Xenopus tropicalis: one gene and its partners. The protein of the gene in region 1 purifies or fractionates together with the protein of each later gene. This does not show direct contact. Links are inferred from orthologs where the notes say so. Each region holds a gene or a part of one and is shown on either strand. Other genes may lie near its edges. The genes, in order: bbs12, mkks and bbs7.

Region 1 (8,268 bases):
GCAGAAAAATTGTATGCAAACTACAAAAACAATAATCCTTACCATTTTTTGAGTCATGAGAGATAAAAAGTCCTCAAAATCAATAATTCCAGAACCATCTTTATCGGTGTCGGATATAATTTTTTTCATTTCCTCTTTTTTGGGCTCAAATCCCAAAGCCCGCATAGCTACCTGTCAAATATTAACATATAATTTAACATTTTCTAGATAAAATTCTAATATATAATTTACTATTAATCCTAATAGAAAGCATATTATTACAGGTCAGTTTACAGTATAAACAGAATATGCCATGGTCAGGTACTAAAGCATGCCTGACAAAGGGGTACACCCTAGAACACTGCTACTACACTTTCAATAAACATACAGGGGCTAAGCCCCACTTGCATTACACTCGTTGTGCCATTCACCTCCTGTCTTGTTCCCGTGAGGGTGCCAACCCTCTAGGCTGTACACTGAATTTACTACTGGCAGAGGCCAGGGGTGCTGGTGGAACTTCTGTTCGGGTACTAAAGCTGACACTAGCCAAACTATCCATCAATATCGTTACATATAAGGACAATATTAGATCATAAGCCAGTGTTTATATGGGGAAAATTAAAGAAAAAAGAATTAATGAAAAATCACACCATCTGCAATAAGCCTGCATGTTCTGCTCTTGTACAGAAAAACAGATGCCACTGCACAGTCTATTGCAGATAAATATTTTTTTAATCAAAAATAGATTATTTATTTTAATTTATAGGATGTCTCTAAGCTTTGTTACTGTTCTGTAATACTGTCCAATAGAAGAGTTAAACTATCAAGGCAAGTATCTTAAGGTTTCAGAAAAGAGCCACATAGAGCATACTGGTCTGGAGGTAATTTGTGCTTTAAGATGTGGAACCCAGTAGTGATTTTTTTAGTGATCTCTGGAAACATCATACAATGTATTACAAGATGAAAGCTGCAGAGCTCTGCTAAAGAGCTAAATATATAATAATGGGGAAAAAACTATTCACTCCAGTTCACTCAGTTCTCCTCTTAGATCTTTCTGTTATAATGATTTATTTCATTATTTGTTCCTAGGAGAACTTCCCCCCAGTTTGTCATTTATACAAAATTATGTAAAAAAACTAAAACCTGAGTTTAGAATGATAACAAAGCAATACAGGTGAACCAGAAACTGGAGTGGTAATTTACTTGCTACTGATCAATCCTTGTGGTTGTGTTATTGCCCTTCATAAAATATACACTAATAAAGAGCTCCTGCACATAAATCCTAGCATATTGAATACATTTTAAACTATTGGTGGCTACAAAGATCTGTAGATCAGTGGTACCAGTAGAGATACAGAAAGTGCACTACTGAATCAGTGCACTATATGAACTTCTGTCATCTGTAGTATATTTTCTTGAGCAAATCTATGTCTATTAGTTCAGTTTTATGAATAACTTACCTTTAGTTCCTTGACATCAATGGTGCCAGATCCATCAGTATCAAACAAATCGAATGCTTCACGGATCTCCTGTTTTTGTTCCTCTGTTAGTTCAGGTTTTGCTCCTATTCTCCTACGCTGAGTGGCACCTAACCCAGGCTTACGAAGAACAGAGGCCTAAAGAAAGGCGTGGAAGGGAACAGGATTAGTTGGATTAGTATGCATATTTCACTAAATAAATACGAATGCTTGCTTGCTTCTGTAAAACTTTATACTAAGACCATAATAGAACTGAATTCTTATGTCCCTAAATACACAAATTTAGAATGTCCCTAAATACAAAAATCTAGAATGTCCCTAAATACACAAAACTAGGGTGACCAGGTCCATTTAACAATTAACAAGGCTGAACTGACCGCAGATTATTTTAAATGCAAGCAGTGCTGTCCTACAACATGTATTTATTAGAAATTCCCCGAATTGTCAAATGATCTGGTCACCCCACTTTATTATTATTTTAACGTTTATTTATAAAGCGCCAACATATTCCGCAGTGCTGTCCAATAAGTGGGTTTCATACATTGGACATACAGAGTAACATATAAAGGTCCCCATACACGGGCCGATAGAAGCTGCCGATATCAGGGCCAAACGATCGAGTTCACCTACATGCCTCCCCGATATCGCCACCCGTAGGTGGGGATATCGGGTGAAGATCCGCTCGCTTGGCGACATCGCCAAGCGAGCAGATCTGCCCGAGTATGGCCAGTTTAAAGCAATCAATAAGCTATAAAAGAGGTGAAGAGAGCCCTGCCCAAAAGAGCTACATTAAACACAATATACTCTAACTTATTTATGAAGCCCCTGTATGATCCATTTATTACACGTAAACATGTGAAATATGTTGCTTTTTATGCTTTATTTCACTTTTCAGAAACCTGAGTGATCAAATCTATCATTAAATTACAAATACTGTCAACACCAGGGAATATTTATCTAAAAGCTATAAACATAATGCCAGAGGGAAGTGTCAACGCTCTCTATGTAATGTGTTGAGTTCTGATGCATGGCTCAGTTAAATATTAGTCTCCAAGACTGACAGCGCCCTGTAAAGCATTGACTGGGGGCTGCATCTCCTCATAATGATCTAGATCTAGAAAGTAAGACACATCTTGCATTTAAACCTTTCAAAATGCCAATTCCAACTAAATTAGAAGACTGTTGGAGAAAGCATTTTCTAATACACATTTATTAGGCTAGAACTACAAGCAGCATGGTAGGTACTCTCCAAATGTATGGGGTCACTGTGCAACCCCTAAAGAGATAGGGCCAAAGCCCAGAATAAACATACAAGTAATTGGACCAATCAGTGTGCACCTCGGAGTAGTCAGTCGGCACAGTACTGAAATGATGGCTGGAAGGCACAAAACATAAATTGTAGGTTCTGACTGATACTATCTACTGCGTCACATTCACTCCATACAACTGAACTGGAATTAGCTGCAGGCAGGTGCAACATTACTTTATCCTAATGCAATATTAGCGCAGTATGCTGCAAAATAGCGCATAGCGTCTTTTTCCCCATCAAGCGCACAGAACAAGACAAAATAAAGCTTTGATGTCTCCAGTTGTCCTAAACTACACCAATGGGCAAGTAGGCGGTAGAACGTAAATCACTAGTCTTTACTGTGACTGCACATAAAATCAATTGAAAGCTACAATGAGAAATATATCAGCAGCCGCAGCAGAACGTACCATTTTTGATCGGAGTAGCCCAAATACAGCACCTTCCCGACTCCTTTTCTTGTCACTTGTGTTTCCCAGTCACAGTAACCACACCACCAACAGGCAGTCACCCCCAGCTACCAGCCCCACCCACCAGTTCCTAGTTACGATCTAATCCAATCCCTGGATTCTCAGTTCCTCATTAGCCCCACCCACATCCACAGAACCGCCCATAGCCCGCCACATAAGGCGCTCAGACGTCCCGCCACACGAACTGAAAGTATAACCTGCGCCGCGTCTCCATAGCAACAGCAATGCCTTTGAGAATCCACGCCCACTTTCCTCCGCAGCGTCTTGGTCCGCAGGCGCATGGAAGATTAATGTTTAGGTATTTGTGTTTTTGTTAATGTCCGGGGGTCTGGCGGGGAGCTATGGCGGCCTGTGCTAGCCTACAAGATCGGGGAATGTCACTGTGAAGCAGAGAGGTTAGTGAAGGAGATAGGAAGTCTGTAGAAATTAGTCGCAGCAAATGAATTTGCTGTGTTGCCCCATAATTCCAAGGGCCAGGGCTCATTTCTAACTAGCTGTGTTTCCTTATGTATTAGATAATGGCAGGACAAACCATGTTTACACAATGAGTAATATATGTGCAGGCTTAGAATCAATTTGTTTGCTTTGATTCCCTTTCAAATAATACAAAACAGTGATTATCCTGCATGACCTGCTGCTAGGTATTAAATTCTAATCCTGTAGTAAATACCCATTCATTAGAAGGGGGGAGTACAAGTTTGCGTAATCCATTTGTCTATTTCAGACCACTGTTTATGCTCCTGCTGATGAGAAAACCATATTTTAGGTATCACTGTTTAATATAACCCTTTGTATCAACAATTTACTTAAATCTGCATTCATCCAAATGTTATTCACAAATATATTTTAACTACATGCTTCTGTATTCTTGTGCCACCAATGATTGCTGGAAATAAAAGTTCTGTGCCCCCATTGATCTAAGCAAGCTGCAAATGCAATTTGTGGTGTGTTTTTATCAAAGTGGCAGCACATTGGCATCTACATGATATTGTGAGGGGAAAATGCTGAATTTTGGATACAAAGAACAGTGATTTGCAGACATCTTTGCACTATATTTATAAATAAGCATCTTCTTTTAGGCAATGAAATTACTCTGTTTAATAATTTTTTTTTATACAGGTGATATTGACAAATCGCCCATTGACTGATATGGCTATAAGGGGCCACAAGGGACTTCAGCAATTGTTAAGCATGGCAAAATCCGTAAATTCTTTTTTGGGACCCATGAAATCATACAAGTTTGTGTTTGACCAAACTACTCATGAAAGTATATTGACTTGTTCTGCATTTCGACTTCTGGAAAATCTGGATCTTACTAGCGCTGTTGGACAACTTTTTAATGAAACGATTCAGGCACATCAAAAAAGCTATAAAACTGGAACAACGACTTTGTTCTTCATGGTTGGTGCATGGAGCAGTGCTGTACAGGAATGTTTACACCTAGGGATCCCTGTTTCATTAATCGTTTCTGTTATGTTGGAAGCATTAAATTCATGCATTGGGCACGTTGAATGCTTACAGGTATTTCTAAGGTCCCAGGCAACTAGTGACTGCACAAATATGAAGGCGCATAGCATTGACTGTATGCGTTTTTCAGCCTCAGGGGATCAAGTCAAATGTTCTTCAGAACAAAAAAACATTTCATTACCTCATGTTTCTAATGTAAGGACAACTTTTGAGTGTCCTGCAGCGTTCCGTAAAGAAATGTCCCTGCAATATACTGGCACAAATGTTCCTAAAACTCAAACTTATCAGAGGAAAAGGCTGTTTCACAGCAGGCACTTAGCTGAAGAGTTAAGTTCTTTCCGGGATGTGTCTGAAAAGCCTCAAACATCTACATTAAATAATGAAACCCTGGATGGTTTGGCTAAAGGCTTGGCTCATGGTTACCAGCCAGTTATGGACCTTGTGAAAAAAGCAGTTATTCTACAATGTGCAGAGATTAAAGAAAACTTATTAGATAAAAGCAGTTTCAACATCTCTAGACTTGAGACTTGCAGTTTACCAGGTTTGTCCGAAGAGCACACAACTGTATCTACTGGATACACTACTTTAGTCCCACCAGAGAGTGCTGTTGCCATTGCACATCTAAATGGGCAGCCACTTAGAATCCTTCTTGTAGATGGGGAATTAACTGAAAGGCATCGTCATTTGGGCTTTAACAATCCAGACAACATTAGAATGGTGTTTGAATATGCTGGCAATGAAAAACATAATTTAGAGGATTCTTGGATTGGTAGGGCATATGAAAAAATTATTCAAGCTAATATAAACTTAATTTTAGTAAGGGGTGATGTTTGCCCAGTTCTTCTAAAACAGTGCATTCATAGAAATATCCTTATTGTTACCCAAGTAAAGCAGAATATTCTGCAAGCGTTTTCTGAATGCACTGGCGCAGAACCTGTGACATACCTAACTCAAATGAACACCTGCTCTGTGGGGAATGAGGCCTTTGTCACGTTGTGCACTAAAGCAAACTCCATAATAGAAGTAGGCCAAAAAATAGTTATTTCTATTAAAGCAAAGAAACTAAACCTGATAACAACTATACTCAGCAGCAGAACACCAGCTACAATGCAGGCCATAGAAGATCAATTTTGGACATGTGCATACAGGTTACATCATGCTCTTCACGAGGAAAAGGTGTTTTATGGAGCCGGAGCCATTGAACTTTTGTGTATTAGCCACCTTCAGAAGCTTGTACAAGATCCCTTAAAGTCTTACAAAGCAAATGACAGTACCCAATTCCATTGCCTCTCATCATGGATGACTGAAAGTGCAGCTTATTACAGAGCACCAATTATCAGATGCCTTGCCAAGGGCTTGTACAAGTATATTTCTGTTCTTCTTTGCAACATGGGCAAATTTCTTTCAGAATTGGATTCTGTGACATTTATAGAGAATGAACTTCAAAATATAATCCAAAACTCTTCACCTACTGACTACATTCGTGATGAGTACTCTAAAAAAGTATTATTTATTGATGGTATCGGCATTCCTGTCACATCTCAAAGTTTACCAGTGTATGATAATGTTATACCAAAGCAGGAAGCATGGCGCAGAGCTTTGCATTTAGTTCTTATGGTGCTTCAGACAGATGCTGAAGTCATTACCAATTCTGCTGTACATAACCAGATACTTTTGTCAGAGAGTTCAAATGGAGAATACCTATTTCTATAGCTCTGAGAACAAGAAACTTTGCATTTGGACTTTATGAATCCTTAGTTTTAAGCACAGAAACACTTGATTTCCTGATGCCTTCTATGTTTTAGAGCAGTGGCTCGTGAGCAACATGTTGCTCCCCAAGCCCTTGGATGTTGCTCCCAGTGGCCTCAAAGCAGGTGCCCATTGTTGAATTCTTGGCTTGGAGGCAAGTTTTGGTTGCATAAAAACCCAATATAATGCCAAACAGAACCTTCTGTAGGCTGCCAGTCCACATGGGGCCTATTAAATTGTCAATTATAGCTCTTATTGGCACCCCCAGGAACCTTTTTCATGCTTGTGTTGCTCTCCAACCCTTTTTTCATTTGAATGTGGCTCACGGGTATAAAAGGTTGGGGATCCCTGTTTTAGAGTATAATTTTTTGATAAGAGCAGACATTAGTGCTTATCAGGGGCTCAATTTAGCAGCTTCTAAACACCACATAAGTCAGAAACTGATTCTCCCTGATTTTAGGGAGACTGCTTTACTCTTTTCATTTGTTATTGCAGTTATTAAAAGCCATTAATTTTTTTGTGTCTATACTGCTTCAGTCATAATTAATATGAAATAAATCTAAACCGAATATGAACAGTAACCCCCTTGAACATCTTTAATTGAAAATTGGCATCTAAGGGCAATAAGACATTAGTGGTTTTTTCATTTGCAGGAAATCAGTCCTATCACTGAAATTGTTATTGCTGTATGTGTAATACTTTACACTTTACATCTGATTTACATCTGATTTAATTTATTCTGCCCCCTCCCAGGATTTATATATTCTACCTTTGTTCGCAAGCTGAGTCCCTGGGATATCCTGCAGCTGCCAGCCAATAAAGATTCTTCCAGCACTACTAATATAGGTATGGGATATATTATCCAGAATGCTCAGGACTTTGTGTTTTCCGGATAAGGGGTGTTTCCATAATTTAGATCGCCATACCTTTAGTCTACTGTTTTACCTTTTTAAGGATTAATAATATCTAGTTGGAATCAAGTCCAATGCACGGTCTTATTACAGAGAAAAAAAGAAATCATTTTTAAAAATTTGAATTATTTGATTAAAATGGCGTCTATGGGAGATGGCCTTCCCATAACCTGGAGCATTCTGGTTAACAGGTTTCTGGATAATGGATCCTGTACCTGTACTACATACTTTTATCAGTGATTATCATTTACAATTTCCATTATCCTCTACATGTTGCTGTCATTTTTAGTGATTAAAGTTAAACCTTATGCATTCCCCTTTGGCATTTTGATGTTAATATGCAGTTAGTTTACATGCATTACATCTTCTTCTGTGCATTTTCCATACTCCTTTTTCTGCTCCCTATTGTTTTGCAGTATTGCATCTAGAATTTATTTGTCAGGGAACACATTTTTTCAATATCTTTTTAATACTTTTAACTTTGTGTATTTACAAATTTTGAATGGACAATTTCAAATGAACCTATCAATCCTGTTTGTTTCCTGTGATATTGTGTAAAGACATACCCTCCTGGATATCAAAGTAAAATAGGGCCCATGGGTATTGTGTTGCATATATTATTACAATAGCCAAAAATAAAGCAAACCTAATTTATTTTATACATTTTAATATGTCCAGTGTATGGCCTATCCTGGGAATACGTAAGCTATTACTTATATGACTTTCCCTTACCCAAACCTCTGAACTCCAGTCAGCACTAAACTTTTGCACAAATCTACCTAAGCTATAGGCATCCAAAAAAACAAAAATGAAATCAATTGCTAATTGTCTCAGAATACTACTTTCTAGATAATAGAAAAGTTGGTTAAGAGGAACTTAAAGGAGAAGGGAAGGCATTTTGGCATGTT
Region 2 (6,798 bases), on another chromosome or scaffold:
TGGGGACCCCTGCCTTAGAGTTACATTTGCTTGCATTATGCAAAATGTTATATTTGGGCTTTAAGCACTTAAAAAGGAACAAAAATGTGAACAACTGAACAACTCCAATCAAGTTTTTGGAGTTGTTTATGGTAGCTTCCAGTGCCCAAGTACTTTACTTTAGTACAGTATGGACCATGCATAGCAACATACGAGAGAGAAATAACAATATAGTATAGCACTGTTATACACTAGTATATAGTATAGTACAGGTATAGGACCCATTATCCAGAATGCTCGGGACCAAGGGTATTCCGGATAAGGGGTCTTTCCATAATTTGGATCTCCATACCTTAAGTCTACTAAAACATTAATAAAACATTAATTAAACCCAATAGGATTGTTTTGCATCCAATAAGGATTATTTATATCTTAGTTGGGATCAATTACAAGGTTCTTTTTTATTTCTACATAAAAAAAGGAAATCAGTTTTAAAATTCTGAATTATTTGCTTATAATGGAGTCTATGGGAGACGGGCTTTCCGTAATTCGGAGCTTTCTGGATAATGGGTTTCCGGATAAGGGGTCCAATACCTGTACAGTACTGTTACACTATATGGCTAAAAGTATATGGAAGCCTGCCTGCCTGATAGCTTAATCCAAAACCAAATGTATTAATATAAAGCTGCTTCTACCATCTACTCTTCAGGGAAGGCTTTCCACTAGATATTAGGACATTGTTGGTGGGAATTGGTTCAATTGGTTTCAGGTACTGAAATTAGGAATAAGGCCTCACTCACATGGATGTTCAAGTTCACCCGACAGATGTTCGGTTGGCAAGAGATCAGGGCTCTTTGCAGGGCAATTAAGTTCTTCCAATCCTATCTCAGCAAACCTACTGTGTATGAACCTTGCTTTGTACATTATGGTGCCTTCGTTAAACTACCCAGCTCAGAATTGTCAAGAATGTCAATGTATGATCATACACTTGTGTCAGCAAGTACTTTTGGTCATATAGTATACCTTTACAGTGCAGAATTCTCCCTTCTCCAGCCTCTCTCCTACCCTAGAGCAGGCAGGGATGTAGGGATGTGATTGGGCAGAAGGGCGAGGGGGAAAGCGTTGGTTATGCATGCCTGGCCCCTCCAAAGATTTTTTTGTTGTGGGGCCCTGCATCACATAGTTACCCTGCATCACATAGTTACCCTACTGCTTATGACCCTCCCTATTTCTATCTCTTTAAAAATGATCCAAAGTAAAGTATAATAATGGAACTGGGAGAAAATATTTTCTGTGCTACATCACTTTCTATACCTATTCTGCATAGTGGTACAACACAGAGAATGGGTTTTATATTAGACCTTACCATGTTGTTTGATAACCTTACAGGTAGTACATACAGCAAGGGACCTACTAATTATGCTGTTTAAAATAAATTATTTTAAAACACTTTGGTGTTACTGTTCCTTTAAGAAAAAATGGGGAACTAAAGCACCATAAGGAACAGATTTCTACGACTGATAAAAACAAATACATTCCAGGCACTTTATGAGGAGATGCTACATTGCTGCTAGACCTTACAGAGCCTCTCCAGAGGATTTCTACTTGATTTGGCTACCCATGAACTTGGCTAAATAAGGCTGATTGGATTATTGGCCTCATTGACTCTCTGAAGACCCGTTATGAAAGGATGAATCAATGTGGCCCTCACCCAAGGAAATCTTCAAACATGTCTAATAAATATCAAAGATGCAGCCTGTCGAGAAGCTCCCATATAAGAATAATAAGCCGCCAAGTTGGCATTTTATTATGGATCATGTATGTCCAGCTTGACACCAAGGAATTTAGTTCGTTTCTTCTCCTTCTACTTCATGGTAAGTAAGTAGATTTACCCTATGATCATGTTTCCCTAAGCCACTGAAGCGAGTGAGATTTTGCTGTTCTCCTGGAACCATATGACCCTGACTGTTACCCCAATATATTATTTATTTGTAACACTGTGTATATCCATGTATTTGAAGAGATGCTAAAAGAAAATCCAACCTTACACACCAACAACATTACAGTGAAACCAACTGCCCTATAGTTACAGTTAGAAAAATAATACAGACACCACCATATATGACTGTGATTTGTGAATATTTATTTACATTTATTATTAAAATGACACGGTAAAGTCTAATTAGGTTTAATTAAATACAGAATATGGGATCTGTCCTCTGGAACAACACATTAATCAATACTCTGGAATAATGCAGCTTAATTACCATGAAGTGCAAGGTACCATCTTATTATTAGGGAGAAAAAGGTAATCAGTTGGAGCTTTCCAGTAATGAATTTGCAGATAATAGATCATATGCCTATACAAGTATGGGATCTGTTATCCGCAAACCTGTTATCCAGAAATTTCCAAATTACAGGCAGGGCATCTCCCATAGACTCGATTTTAATCAGATAATTAAAAATTTAAAATAAATTCCCTTTTTCTCTGTAATTTAAAACAGTACCTTGTACTTTATCCCAACTAGGATACAATAAATCCATATTGTAGGCAAAAGAATCCTATTGGGTTTATTTAAAGTTTAAATGATTTTTAGTTTATGTGTTACCCAAAAAAGTGCAAACAGAAGAACTCACTAGTTGAAATGTTGGGTTTGGGTGCCTGAGGGAGCGGAATCACAAGAACTTGGTCAGGCACTCCAAAAGTACCAACAATGACGGTTCAAATAAAGTAAAGTAAGTACAAATGTTTATTGAGTATTACATGTCTAAAATAAAGCCCGACGTCCAAAAAAATTCACTTCAGCTGGGGGGCACATGGGACATAACTTTTCAGTTAGTTTGTGAGCACGCGGGTCAGATTCAATTAGTGCAAACTAAATGAACAGTTATGTCCCATATGACCCCCCCTCAAGTCACTGATTGGTTACTGATGGCTAACAGCTTAGAGAGCTGTAAAGGAGGTATTAGTGATCTGGCTATTATGTTAGGCATTTGCTCACTCCAGCCTTTAGAGATTACATTTTTGGCTTACTTTTAGAAATATTTTTTATTCAGTTTATCTTACCCAGTTTAATTTTACACTTAAATGTTCCTTTAATGACTCGATAGTAATATATTTACCACAACTCCCAACATTTAAGTTTTAATCAGTAGAAACATCACATGGTATAAGGTAATTTGCCATAGATAAGACCCCACCCACTGTAAAATATCTCTATAGCAAGGTGAGTTTTACAATCAAATTTTTCACTCCGAATACACTTGTTTAAGAAACAGGACTTAATTGGGATCTTCAATTACATATGACAGGTCCAGAATTAAACTGGCAGTGTTAACAGCCACTTGTAAGGCGTTACATTTTGCAGCAAAACAGTCAAAAACAAACTTGTCCGACTTTGGGTATAATTGTTTTTCTGTGCTCCCCTGAGGACAGAATGGTTCGTACCTACTTCCCAGAGCACTGCACTTTAACCCTTCTAATTTCCTGTGCGTTCCACACCCGCATTGCTGCCCAGTATCTGAGCAATGGAAATCCACAGCACCATCAGGAGCAGCAGACCAGCAATGACCCATCTGTAGATCAATGGACATTTCTCCTCCGTCGTGTTCCAGATTTCGTGCTAGAGCCTCTAATGAGATGCAAAAGCAATCGGCCACCAGCTGGTACTCTGCCGCTGTGCAGTTCAGCTCTGTCAGGCCACTGCTGTGCATATTGGCACTCTGAAACAGAGTAAAATCACAGCTAAGCTCTAGCTAATACTGGATAGATATTAACTACTTCTATGGTCATAATGTTTATATACTCAGAGGTTTGTTAGTTATAACGGTTTGGAAAATCACTTGGACCTGACACATTAGCTACAGCTTTATATACAAATATATATATATATATACAAATATATATATATACAGCATGAAATAATCCATGGCCGGCACACCCTTAAAATTCAAAAAATTTTTTTTGGCTGTGCACCCCACAGAATACTAAAGCCTTGGAGTGCAGACACCATCAGGACTGATATATATATATATATATATATATATATATATATATATATATATATATAAATATGTGTGTGTGTGTGTAACTAAGTACATATGCTGACTGCCTAGAGATAGAGTTTTATATTATGGTGCATCCAGACACAAAGAAAACAATACCAACCTGAAGACCATTATCAGTGAAGCCTCTGGTATATTCCCAGTACAGAAAATGTGTATGCAATATATATTAGAAATGCTTTACTTAAAACAGCAATGGAGCATGATAAGTAGGATGCTCTTTGAAACAGGGGTAAAAAAATGAAATTATTTATCTTGTTCACTAAATATAGTCATTAACAGTCACAGCATGATTAAATTGGCCCATGGTGCACGCTCCTGTGTGCAACAGTAACTAAAAGCCCAAAAAAAGGTGGGAGGGGATATATAAGGGTGTACAGGGTAGCTGCAAGCTATTTCCTACATGCTGAATTATCTCTAACAAGGATGTCCAAGCTCAGGGTCATTTATTTCTTAATTACAATCTAGCTTCTGGCTTTTGATGGGGTGCATTAAATTAGACAGTTCTATTTTGCAGTAATAATTTTACCTTGTATCTCAGCAATGCTGCCAAGTGTGTTTCTGTGCAGCCACCACCAAGCAACACCCATGGGTTCTTAAGAGTGAGCTGTAATACACGCTCTGCTGCCTCGCAGGTCCGCTGCAATAAAAATGAAGATGTTGTTATTTATTAAATCACTGTTCAAAGCAAAACAGGTTAATAACTGTATAAATCACCCCATTCACTTAATGATCCAGACAATTTTGGAATTAACTTTAAAAAAAATGGTACCGTTGGACAATTCAGTAATTTATAATTGGTCTCCAGTTCCAGGCTGGAACAGAAGCAGCCATTCCTTTATCTCCTAAATTAAAAACAGTCAGTGATATATATTCTAGCCTCCCGTTAGGGAAATTGGGTTTATTAAAGTACAATAAAATAAAGTCACCAGCTAAATCTGCAAGATGTATTCTCTAGTTTTATTTTGCCATTTATCAAATATTTGTTTAATGCTGACACAAAACACCAGAATAAATATAAGAATAAGATTTTAGACTTAGTATTGTAACAAAACCATGATAAATTTGCAAGAAACTAGTTACAAGGCAGAACTACTAAGAAAAAAATAAAATATAATATGCAACAGAACTTCAGGAAAAAAAGTGCAAAACCTCACAAATTCTATGTGCTCAAAACTTTGCAAAAGTCAATAATAGTTGGTGCCCAATGACATTTATATTGCTACTGAACTTATATAAGCTCTTGAAGCTAGTCCTAGGGGCAGCTCTTATTGCTTATTTAAACAACTTTGCATACAGGGTCTGGCTGTGCTATACACCTAGTGCCAGATTGGAAATAAGGTGCAAGGTAGAGAGATTTTGGTATCACCAGGCAGCACTGTATTTATGGGCAAGGGCCAAATATCTGTGCTCCATTGAGCACATAGAGTTTAGAAAAGTGAATGGCAGGTGGTTAAGTGTAAAAAACATAAGGAGTAATTTATAATACCAGGGGGCACAAGTGCAAGAGGGTGGCCCTTAGTCACATTTACTAGCACTTCTGCCCCCCAGGGTTGCCGTTCTCTGCACAGAGTGCCTGCTGCTACTACCTTGTATCTCAGACGGGCCCCTGCCCGCCTATTTTAAATCTAGTGCATTGAATCTCTGCTCCATTAGAGAGGAATGATCAGAAAATTAGAATTTGACCAAGCAGCCACACATATAAGCCTTTTGACTTCACAAACTCACCTTTAAGCTTATGCCCAGTTGGACAACTTTCTCATGGCATTTAATCAATGTAGGAACATAAGCCAAGTGGCAGTTGATCTGGCTTTGAAAACCTTGTCAGTAATGGGTCAAAACTGCAAGTGCAAGCGATTGCTTGGATTTTTACAGATTACTAAAAGCTTTACGGGGCAGGGACCTCCTTCCTACTGTGTCTCATACCACATGGCACTTATTCCCTGTGCATATTATATATATATATATATATATATATATATATTTATTGTATTTATTTATTTATTATAACACTTGTCCTCCCTGTGTGTAATTTTGTATTTTGAAAGATTGTACAGCACTGCGTACCCTTGTGGCGATTTATAAATAAAGTTATACATACATACATACATAATGACATCCTATACAAGGTGGAACACTTACTTTACTGTTAAAAATGAAACAAAAAAAAATAATTCTAGACTAGTAACACATGGTATTGGTAAGGAAGATAAAATACTACAGAAAAGGGCAAGACTTGTGACATAGTGAAACATGGACTTACCATAAGCTCTTTTAATGATGTCTCATTTCGATTACAGAGGACAAAGCTGCACACTGAGTTGCCAGTGGGAATAAGGTGTATATAATGCTTAGATCCCATAGACATTTTATGAAGACCTTGCAAGCTGCCATAGCAAGTGTCAGGGATGGAGCTAAGAGAAGCTATAGGTTGTGCACCTGTTATTGGAAAGGGAGCAAAAATATTGTCATGTAAAAACTTTTTCAACCAAAAATAGGTTACAACTGATAAAGCAAAGAGAGGAGAGGACAATGAATCATGTTCATACTTTTAAGGTCACTATGAATATTCACAATAGCACTTGCTCATCACATCACTTGGCTGAAGATTACCCCTTTTAACTTATACACTATTTAAAGAAAAATTACCTGTCATTTGACTCACGGGTTCCATTAAAGCTGCACCTAATCTATCCACTGCAACGACACTGTGCTCTTTAAGGTATTGCTTCAAGGATGGATGGACAACTTTTT
Region 3 (6,798 bases), about 830 kb from region 1:
CTTCATTTAAACCCTTCAGCAGGAAATTGTATCATTTATGTACATGAGAAATTATACACTTGCTCAGATATCTCACACATTACAGTGACGCTTCTGGTATGAGGCAAGGTAAATAATGTACTTTAGGCAGCACTTTACTTTAAGAAGAATTAGTGAGTGCAGAAGAGCTAGGAGAAAGTGGGAGGGATTGGCTTTGGCTCTGCTGCCTCTGGTGGCAATGTGCCAGAAGGTTGAAGGTAATTCAGCAGCAAGCAGAGTATCCATTGCTCAGATATGTGTATGTGATTCTGGTTTCTCTGAGCTTTACATTCGTATTGAAAAAGTTTTGTAATAATTCTTAGCTGATTATTTCTAAATCTTTCTTACAGCCAAATGGCAACTTCCTTCTTGCTACCTATCGTTGCCAAGCTAACACCACACGGCTTGAACTCAAGGTAAAACAAGCATTTAGATTTATTTCAAGTAAAGTAGGAATGAAAAACCCAGATCGAGTGTACATGTGTAATACTCTCTCCCTCTTCTCTTACTATCTCTCTCTATATATATCTTTACTTATAGCAGCTGGGATTGCACACTATCCGTAGTGTTTTTTGCAGGTTACCTTTTTTTTCTCTTTTTTTTGCATTAAGGCTGATTTATTTTTTCATTTATTAAAACAGATTCGGTCTATCGAAGGACAGTATGGAACCCTGCAAGCATATATTACACCTCGCATTCAACCAAAAACTTGCCAAGTCCGCCAGTACCAGATTAAGCCTTTGTCACTTCATCAAAGGGCTCATGCCATTGATCAGAACAGGTACACTGTGCCAGAAATGTTTTTTTCTACACTGCATGGGAAAGCCAAAAGTATTGTGTGTTTGATTGAAGAAAAATAATGAATCAGCAGTTCAGCACTTCAATAAGGCTATGCCTCCACCCAGAGGTTTACAACTGTTGAGCAACATTATTACCTCAAGTGAGGCCTAAGTAAATGATAGATCAGTCTAGCCTGAAGGCTAGCTTTCTGTGTGATTTGAGATGACTGCTTATTTGCTTTCAGAAACAAATCAAATGCCACCCTGAAAGTCAGGTAGTAGATATTTGGGCTGAGCACATTGCTCTTGTAGATATTCTTGGATCTTTAGGAAGGTGACATTAGCACCCTTAAGCCCATTAGACTCTGTATTGCACATGTATGAGCAATTAAACAATGCCTGACTCACTAATATGGCAACACAGTCAGATACAATATTAGGACAGGTAGAGGATTTTTTTTAATAAAGAAGAGCACAGGCTGGCAGAACTTATCATCTATTAAAGTTTGATGTTATCAAACATCTCCACCTTTTATTTTGGCTCATTGTTCTTTAAATATATTTACTATTTTGGAAGGGAACATATATTTAAAATTAAATAAATAAAGCTTCATGAAGGAACAGACCAAAAGTGGATGAGAGTATGAGTTATGCTAGACTGACAGTAATGATATGTGCATGTATTTCAGGCCCATGAACACGGTGAGCCTGACTGGCCAGTTCAGCTTTTCAGACATGCATTCCTGGGTTGTATTTTGTTTACCTGAAGTCCCTGAGAAAACTCCAGTGGGAGAGAACGTCACCTTTTACTTCAAGAATACCTTTCTGGAAACGCAGCTCGAATGTACATACAGGTAAATTGTAAAACTGGGTTCTTCAGAATCATTTCCGCCAATTAAAAGCACGATTGGAAAAAATTTGGAGTAACCACAATAATTTCTAATGTGCAAAAATTCTTTTTTTGGTCATACGAAAATATCGTGGTTGCGATCCGAAAGTCACAAAATGTTCATATCCGAACGATCGTTAAAGGTGCGAGATCCTTTCTGGCTTTAAAACTTAAATGCATGATTTTGGAAGCCTCCCATAGGACTCAATGACACTCTACAGCTCCAACCTGGCCAAAAAAAAGTCACAATACCAAAGCTTAAATGAATTCCGAAATTGTCGTAGTCTTTGCAAAAAATACAAAGTTTTTGTGGAATTTAACGAAAACCACGAAAAAGTCTTACTATTTTAACGATATTGTTGTAAATACGAAAAGGTCTAACAATTAGAAAAAATACAATTTTTTCTTATTCGTGGTCAATATAACCAGGACTGTTATATATAATGTTCCAGAATGTGCAATCCATTTACAGGTATGAGACCTGTTATCCGGAATGTTTGGGACCTGGGGTTTTCCAGATATTTCCATAATTTGGATTTCTGTACCTTACTACAAAAATCATTTAAACATTAAATAAACCCAATAGGTTTGTTTTGCCTCCAATATGAATTAGTGCAGCTTAATTACGATCATGTACAATGTACTGTTTTATTATTACAAAAAAAAAAAAGGAAATCATTTTTAAAAATCTGGATCATTTGATTAAAATGGAGTCTATGGGAGATGGCCTTCCTGTAATTTGGAGCTTTCTGGATAACTGTGTCTGGATAACTGAACCCATACCTGTATCAAAACTTGTTAAAACAAAAGTACTTCAGTCAGTGGGTCTTGTGCAGCATCAAAATATTATGTTCATTAAAAAAATATATATATGTTGTCACTGAAATGTCTTCTGTGGACTTCCACAGGAAATGAAACCTATATATAATATATTATACATATATATAGCATTGTCATTCATGCTCACCTCTTTTTTTTTATCACAGAAAGGGAGAAGGATTATTTAAATCTGACAATATATCAACAATTTCTATCCTGAAAGATGTGCTGTCAAAAGAAGCCACTAAAAGAAAGATTAATCTCAACATATCATATGGTATTTTGTCTAATTTACTTTCCCTTACCTAGCCTTATACAAACATACATTCCACTGTTCAGTGCTCTTGTTCTTGAAATGTATTACTTTTGTGAGTATTTATTTCTTAATATACTTTTTGTAATCTTTTATAGTGCAGTATATCTCCACCTTTGTATTGCAGACTAACACAAGCTGTTTGTTACCGAGTCTGGAGATATTTCAAGTAGTTCAGTTATGTGTGCCATCTAGTTAGGAAATGTTGATGCCTTATTATAAATATATTAGAAAATAGAAATTATATTCATTGTAAAAAGAAAATATTTCAAATCCATATTCATTTTATCTGAAAGAGTATTTAGTTTCATCAAAAATATAAAATACTAAAATATTTTAATGAATGTATACTGGAAAATTATTATATTGAAAATAACAGTTAAATGTTATTTTTGAATTTATATCCCTTTAATACTACTGACTTGTTTCTCAAATTAGTGAAATAGGTTGCTAAGTTTTTCCCCAGGCTGGTGCTCCTGGAGGGAACTGCACCAACCTGTAGAAAAAACTGTCTGAGCACCGCACCGGCATCTCCTTACCTTACTTTCTTATTTGAGTGCAGTGGCCGGTAAATGGTAAGTAAATTGGCGGCATGGCGCTCAGACAGTTTTTTCCACAGGCTTTTAAGATTCTCTTCTAACAGGAGCACCAACCTGGGAAAATAATATAGCAACCTATTTCACTTAGGGGGCCTAACATTTTGGAACCCCTCCATAAAATAGACTTTACATGTCCTGTAATACAGATTCCCTTTGTAAATGAGCTATTCCTTATTACAAAGGCTGCAGCTTAGGTATTAGCGGGGTTTTTTTATACAAAGCTCATTATCTCCCTTTGAAATATTACCCTGTTTTATTTATTGTGCTATTTTCAAGCCAAGGTGTTTACTGCCCCTTTGAGGGAAGATAAATTGTTAAAATGTCAGTAATGGCACTTCTGGTATAAAACATGGCTTTTACTGCTAAGAAACAAACCTAGAACTTTATAATGTAAAAGAAAACAAATTTATGTTATGGCCTTTTAACATTATTTTTTAAGAGCTGTTCACTTTTCCTGAGCTCAAGGGTAATGTTAATGAATGTTAATGCAGTTTGGATAGTAATTACTAGAATGAATGTTACGGTTCCTCCATGTGTAGCAAGCTTTTGCAGTCATCATATAAAACTAACTTTTGCCTCACTTCTTCTTTTGGTTTGTGCAGATATAAATGAAGAATCTGTTGGGCACACTTTGAAACTGATTCATCCAAAACTGGAGTACCAATTGCTCTTAGCCAAAAAAGTACAATTAATTGATGCTCTGAAGGTGGGTAATATGTGTTAGGAGCATTTCTTCTTGTGTGAGCTTTTAGCTAATTAGCTATCAATGGGTCTGTCTATGTTTCAAAATCATGAATGTCAGCATGCTAGCCAGTGTTGGATTACACACCCCAACTTTAAGATCATAAAAGCAACTTTTCTCCTTTGGGCACTGGGGGTTGAGGTAATCATTGTGGTAAAGCATTTTTCTCACAGAAGCAAGACACTGATATCAACAGGGCTGACACATGGTTTTCCCTTCTCTGCATTTTCTAGAATTACACCAGCCAGCTCTAGCCTTTCTGTGTCTTGTTGGTAACAGGTTCTACTGTCGCATACCCATCTGACACCCTAAGCTTGGCTGGTGTGAGACTCTTGCCCTCGTCATTTCCCTTTGTGGGAAGGATTTCACTATTTTGTCTCATTGTCCCTCTCACCTGTTCATTTTACCAAAGATTAAATCATAGGCACTTTAGAAAAAGGCATTGATAACATGTAGCATGTTCCAGTCTGGGAGAGCCAAAAAAGTTTTTTCAGGTTCATGGTAAAGTAATCCTCAGTTTGTGGCTTATAGTCTCACACCCACTCCCTGCATTTTCACAAAAGCAGTGGCAGTTCAGGGCTCCCTCCCAGCATCCTGCAGCTCCCCACCCCAGCATCCTCCAGCTCCACTCCCCAGCATCTCCTCAAAATCCTCCCACCAGCATCCTTCATCTTCCCCCCCCCCGCGACCTGCAGCTCCCTCCTCCAGTGACCCCCTGCTTCCTCCGTCCTTGGCTGCTTCTGTCCCCCCGGCTCCCTGCTGCATCCTTTTATATGGTTGCGCCACATGCGTGGTGACGTCATGCGCACGCACGGGGCGCAACCAATAAAGGCCCGTCATTCTTTTAAGGGGGCCGGAGTTGGCGGGCCAGATTAAAAAGGCCAACGGCCCAGATGTGGCCCGCGGGCTGTAGTTTGCCCACCCCTGTTCTACAGGATACGAATGCTCTGCAAATGGGCTTGAAATGATTGCTGAACTATTTAATTTTGGTTTTGTACAATAGGAGCTGCAAGTTCATGAAGGAAACACAGACTTTCTGATCCCAGAGTACCGTTCTATTTTAGAAGAGGCAGAGAAACTTCAGGAAGAATACAAGAAGCAACCTGCACATCTTGAAAGGCTTTATGGTGGGTTTTGATGGTTTTTAATATGTGGTCCCCATATTTTACCCAAAATGAACAGAACTTCCCTTTTCTATGGTATAAAGGGATTTATCCCACTACAAACAAGTCTCACTTACAGCCCTGATCTACAGACTACACCCCCAGTTACATCTGATGTACATTGTGATTATAATTACAAACTTATAACAGGAGCACTACTGCAGTTGACAAGAGGATGTCACAGTAGTTTAGACAATGCCGAAACTGCAAACTGAGTCAGTATCGTCTTTACAAATTTGGGGCAGATGGTTGTTACAAGGCTGATATAACTAAATAACTGATATAAATAAAGTAGCCAGCGGTTCACTATAGTTTGTTTGTTTTTGCAGGTATGATCACAGATCTCTTCATTGACAAGTTCAAATTCAAGGGCACAAATGTGAAAACGAAGGTTCCCCTCTTGCTGGAGATTTTGGACAACTATGAACAAGATGCACTTATGGCTTTTTTTGAAACTGCACAATGAGTGACATGAGCCAGCTATTAATTCACATTACTCTGATATCAAGGCACATATATAATAGCAGCCTTTGGCCCTTCAGGGGTGCTGGTAAAATGTACTGTAGTTCAGCAACATGGGGGGAACCATATTTGATATGGTATAGTATTTATTTTGCCAGTCTTTCTGTTGGCCATTTTTCCAACGGTTCTTTATTCCGAAATGTTTGCGTAGATTGAAAAATTATACCAGTAACATTCCTATAATTTGTTTCCTGGACCTCGGGCTAAACTATCTGATCACAGTACTGGAAAGGCCATTGGGGCAAGGACTGCATCAACGAGGCAATTAGGTCCACGATTCAATGGGATTTTGATTACCTGCCGATAGATATCAGGCTTATTTTGTCATAAAGGGCCAGTGAGCTGCTAACTAGGTCCATCGGTAGCTATTTTTGGCCAATGTATTTTTTTAATTATTTATTAAATTATACTATTATGGATCATGCAGTAGTGTGTTTTATACCCTTAAAGGAGAACTATACCCCGCGGGTGCTAAAAGCCCCCTTAACTATCACTGTCTTGACCCCCCTACCTCTCCCTTATCGCATAGTTCCTAAGTTTAAACACTGTCCCTATTGCTAACCCCAAGCTAAAAATGCAGTGTTTAAACTTAGGAACTATGTGATAAGGGAGAGGTGAGGGGGTCAAGGCAGCGACAGTTAAATTACATGTAAACCCCACATACAAAAATGTAATCAGTGAACAGCCTCTTTGAAATCTTTCAATCTTTTCACACTGGTTGTCCAGATTTTAATAGTAAGGCTGCAGTGTCCCCTTTATCACTTAGATTTCCTTCTCCTCCTGTAACCCACTCGGGCCCCCTCCCTCATGAACTTGCTTTGACTTCTGGCTTGTGGGCATGCTCAGTTGTTCTAAGCTCAGATGAAGAGATGGCATTGCTGGCATTTCTCTCCTGAGCTCATCTCAAACAAAGCAGAACTTTTATCAGACAGCCTGTGTGAGCCTGTATTCTTT

What was found.
Region 2: the proteins of bbs12 (region 1) and mkks purify together in Homo sapiens (co-immunoprecipitation; 4 studies listed by BioGRID and IntAct, counting the BioPlex papers as one, with this or other methods). This does not show direct contact. The link is inferred for Xenopus tropicalis from reciprocal best matches to the Homo sapiens genes BBS12 and MKKS.
Region 3: the proteins of bbs12 (region 1) and bbs7 purify together in Homo sapiens (co-immunoprecipitation; 3 studies listed by BioGRID and IntAct, counting the BioPlex papers as one, with this or other methods). This does not show direct contact. The link is inferred for Xenopus tropicalis from reciprocal best matches to the Homo sapiens genes BBS12 and BBS7.

The regions. Positions count from the first base shown.
Region 1 is NC_030677.2:65,985,228-65,993,495, reverse strand, and holds bbs12 (Bardet-Biedl syndrome 12 protein), read left to right. Parts: upstream 1-3,375; 5' UTR 3,376-3,531; intron 3,532-3,537; exon of another isoform or gene 3,538-3,628; intron 3,629-4,352; 5' UTR 4,353-4,382; coding exon 4,383-6,413; 3' UTR 6,414-8,019; downstream 8,020-8,268. Other genes in the region: cetn4 (centrin 4), read right to left, coding at 43-171, 1,440-1,595, 3,174-3,176. UniProt on the Homo sapiens protein: Component of the chaperonin-containing T-complex (TRiC), a molecular chaperone complex that assists the folding of proteins upon ATP hydrolysis.
Region 2 is NC_030681.2:26,752,908-26,759,705, forward strand, and holds the end of mkks (McKusick-Kaufman/Bardet-Biedl syndromes putative chaperonin), read right to left. Parts: coding exon 6,694-6,798; intron 6,484-6,693; coding exon 6,308-6,483; intron 4,685-6,307; coding exon 4,574-4,684; intron 3,703-4,573; coding exon 3,262-3,702; 3' UTR 2,102-3,261; downstream 1-2,101. UniProt on the Homo sapiens protein: Probable molecular chaperone that assists the folding of proteins upon ATP hydrolysis. Plays a role in the assembly of BBSome, a complex involved in ciliogenesis regulating transports vesicles to the cilia.
Region 3 is NC_030677.2:66,816,198-66,822,995, forward strand, and holds the end of bbs7 (Bardet-Biedl syndrome 7 protein), read left to right. Parts: intron 1-368; coding exon 369-434; intron 435-659; coding exon 660-799; intron 800-1,486; coding exon 1,487-1,651; intron 1,652-2,672; coding exon 2,673-2,782; intron 2,783-4,019; coding exon 4,020-4,123; intron 4,124-5,162; coding exon 5,163-5,286; intron 5,287-5,651; coding exon 5,652-5,788; 3' UTR 5,789-6,264; downstream 6,265-6,798.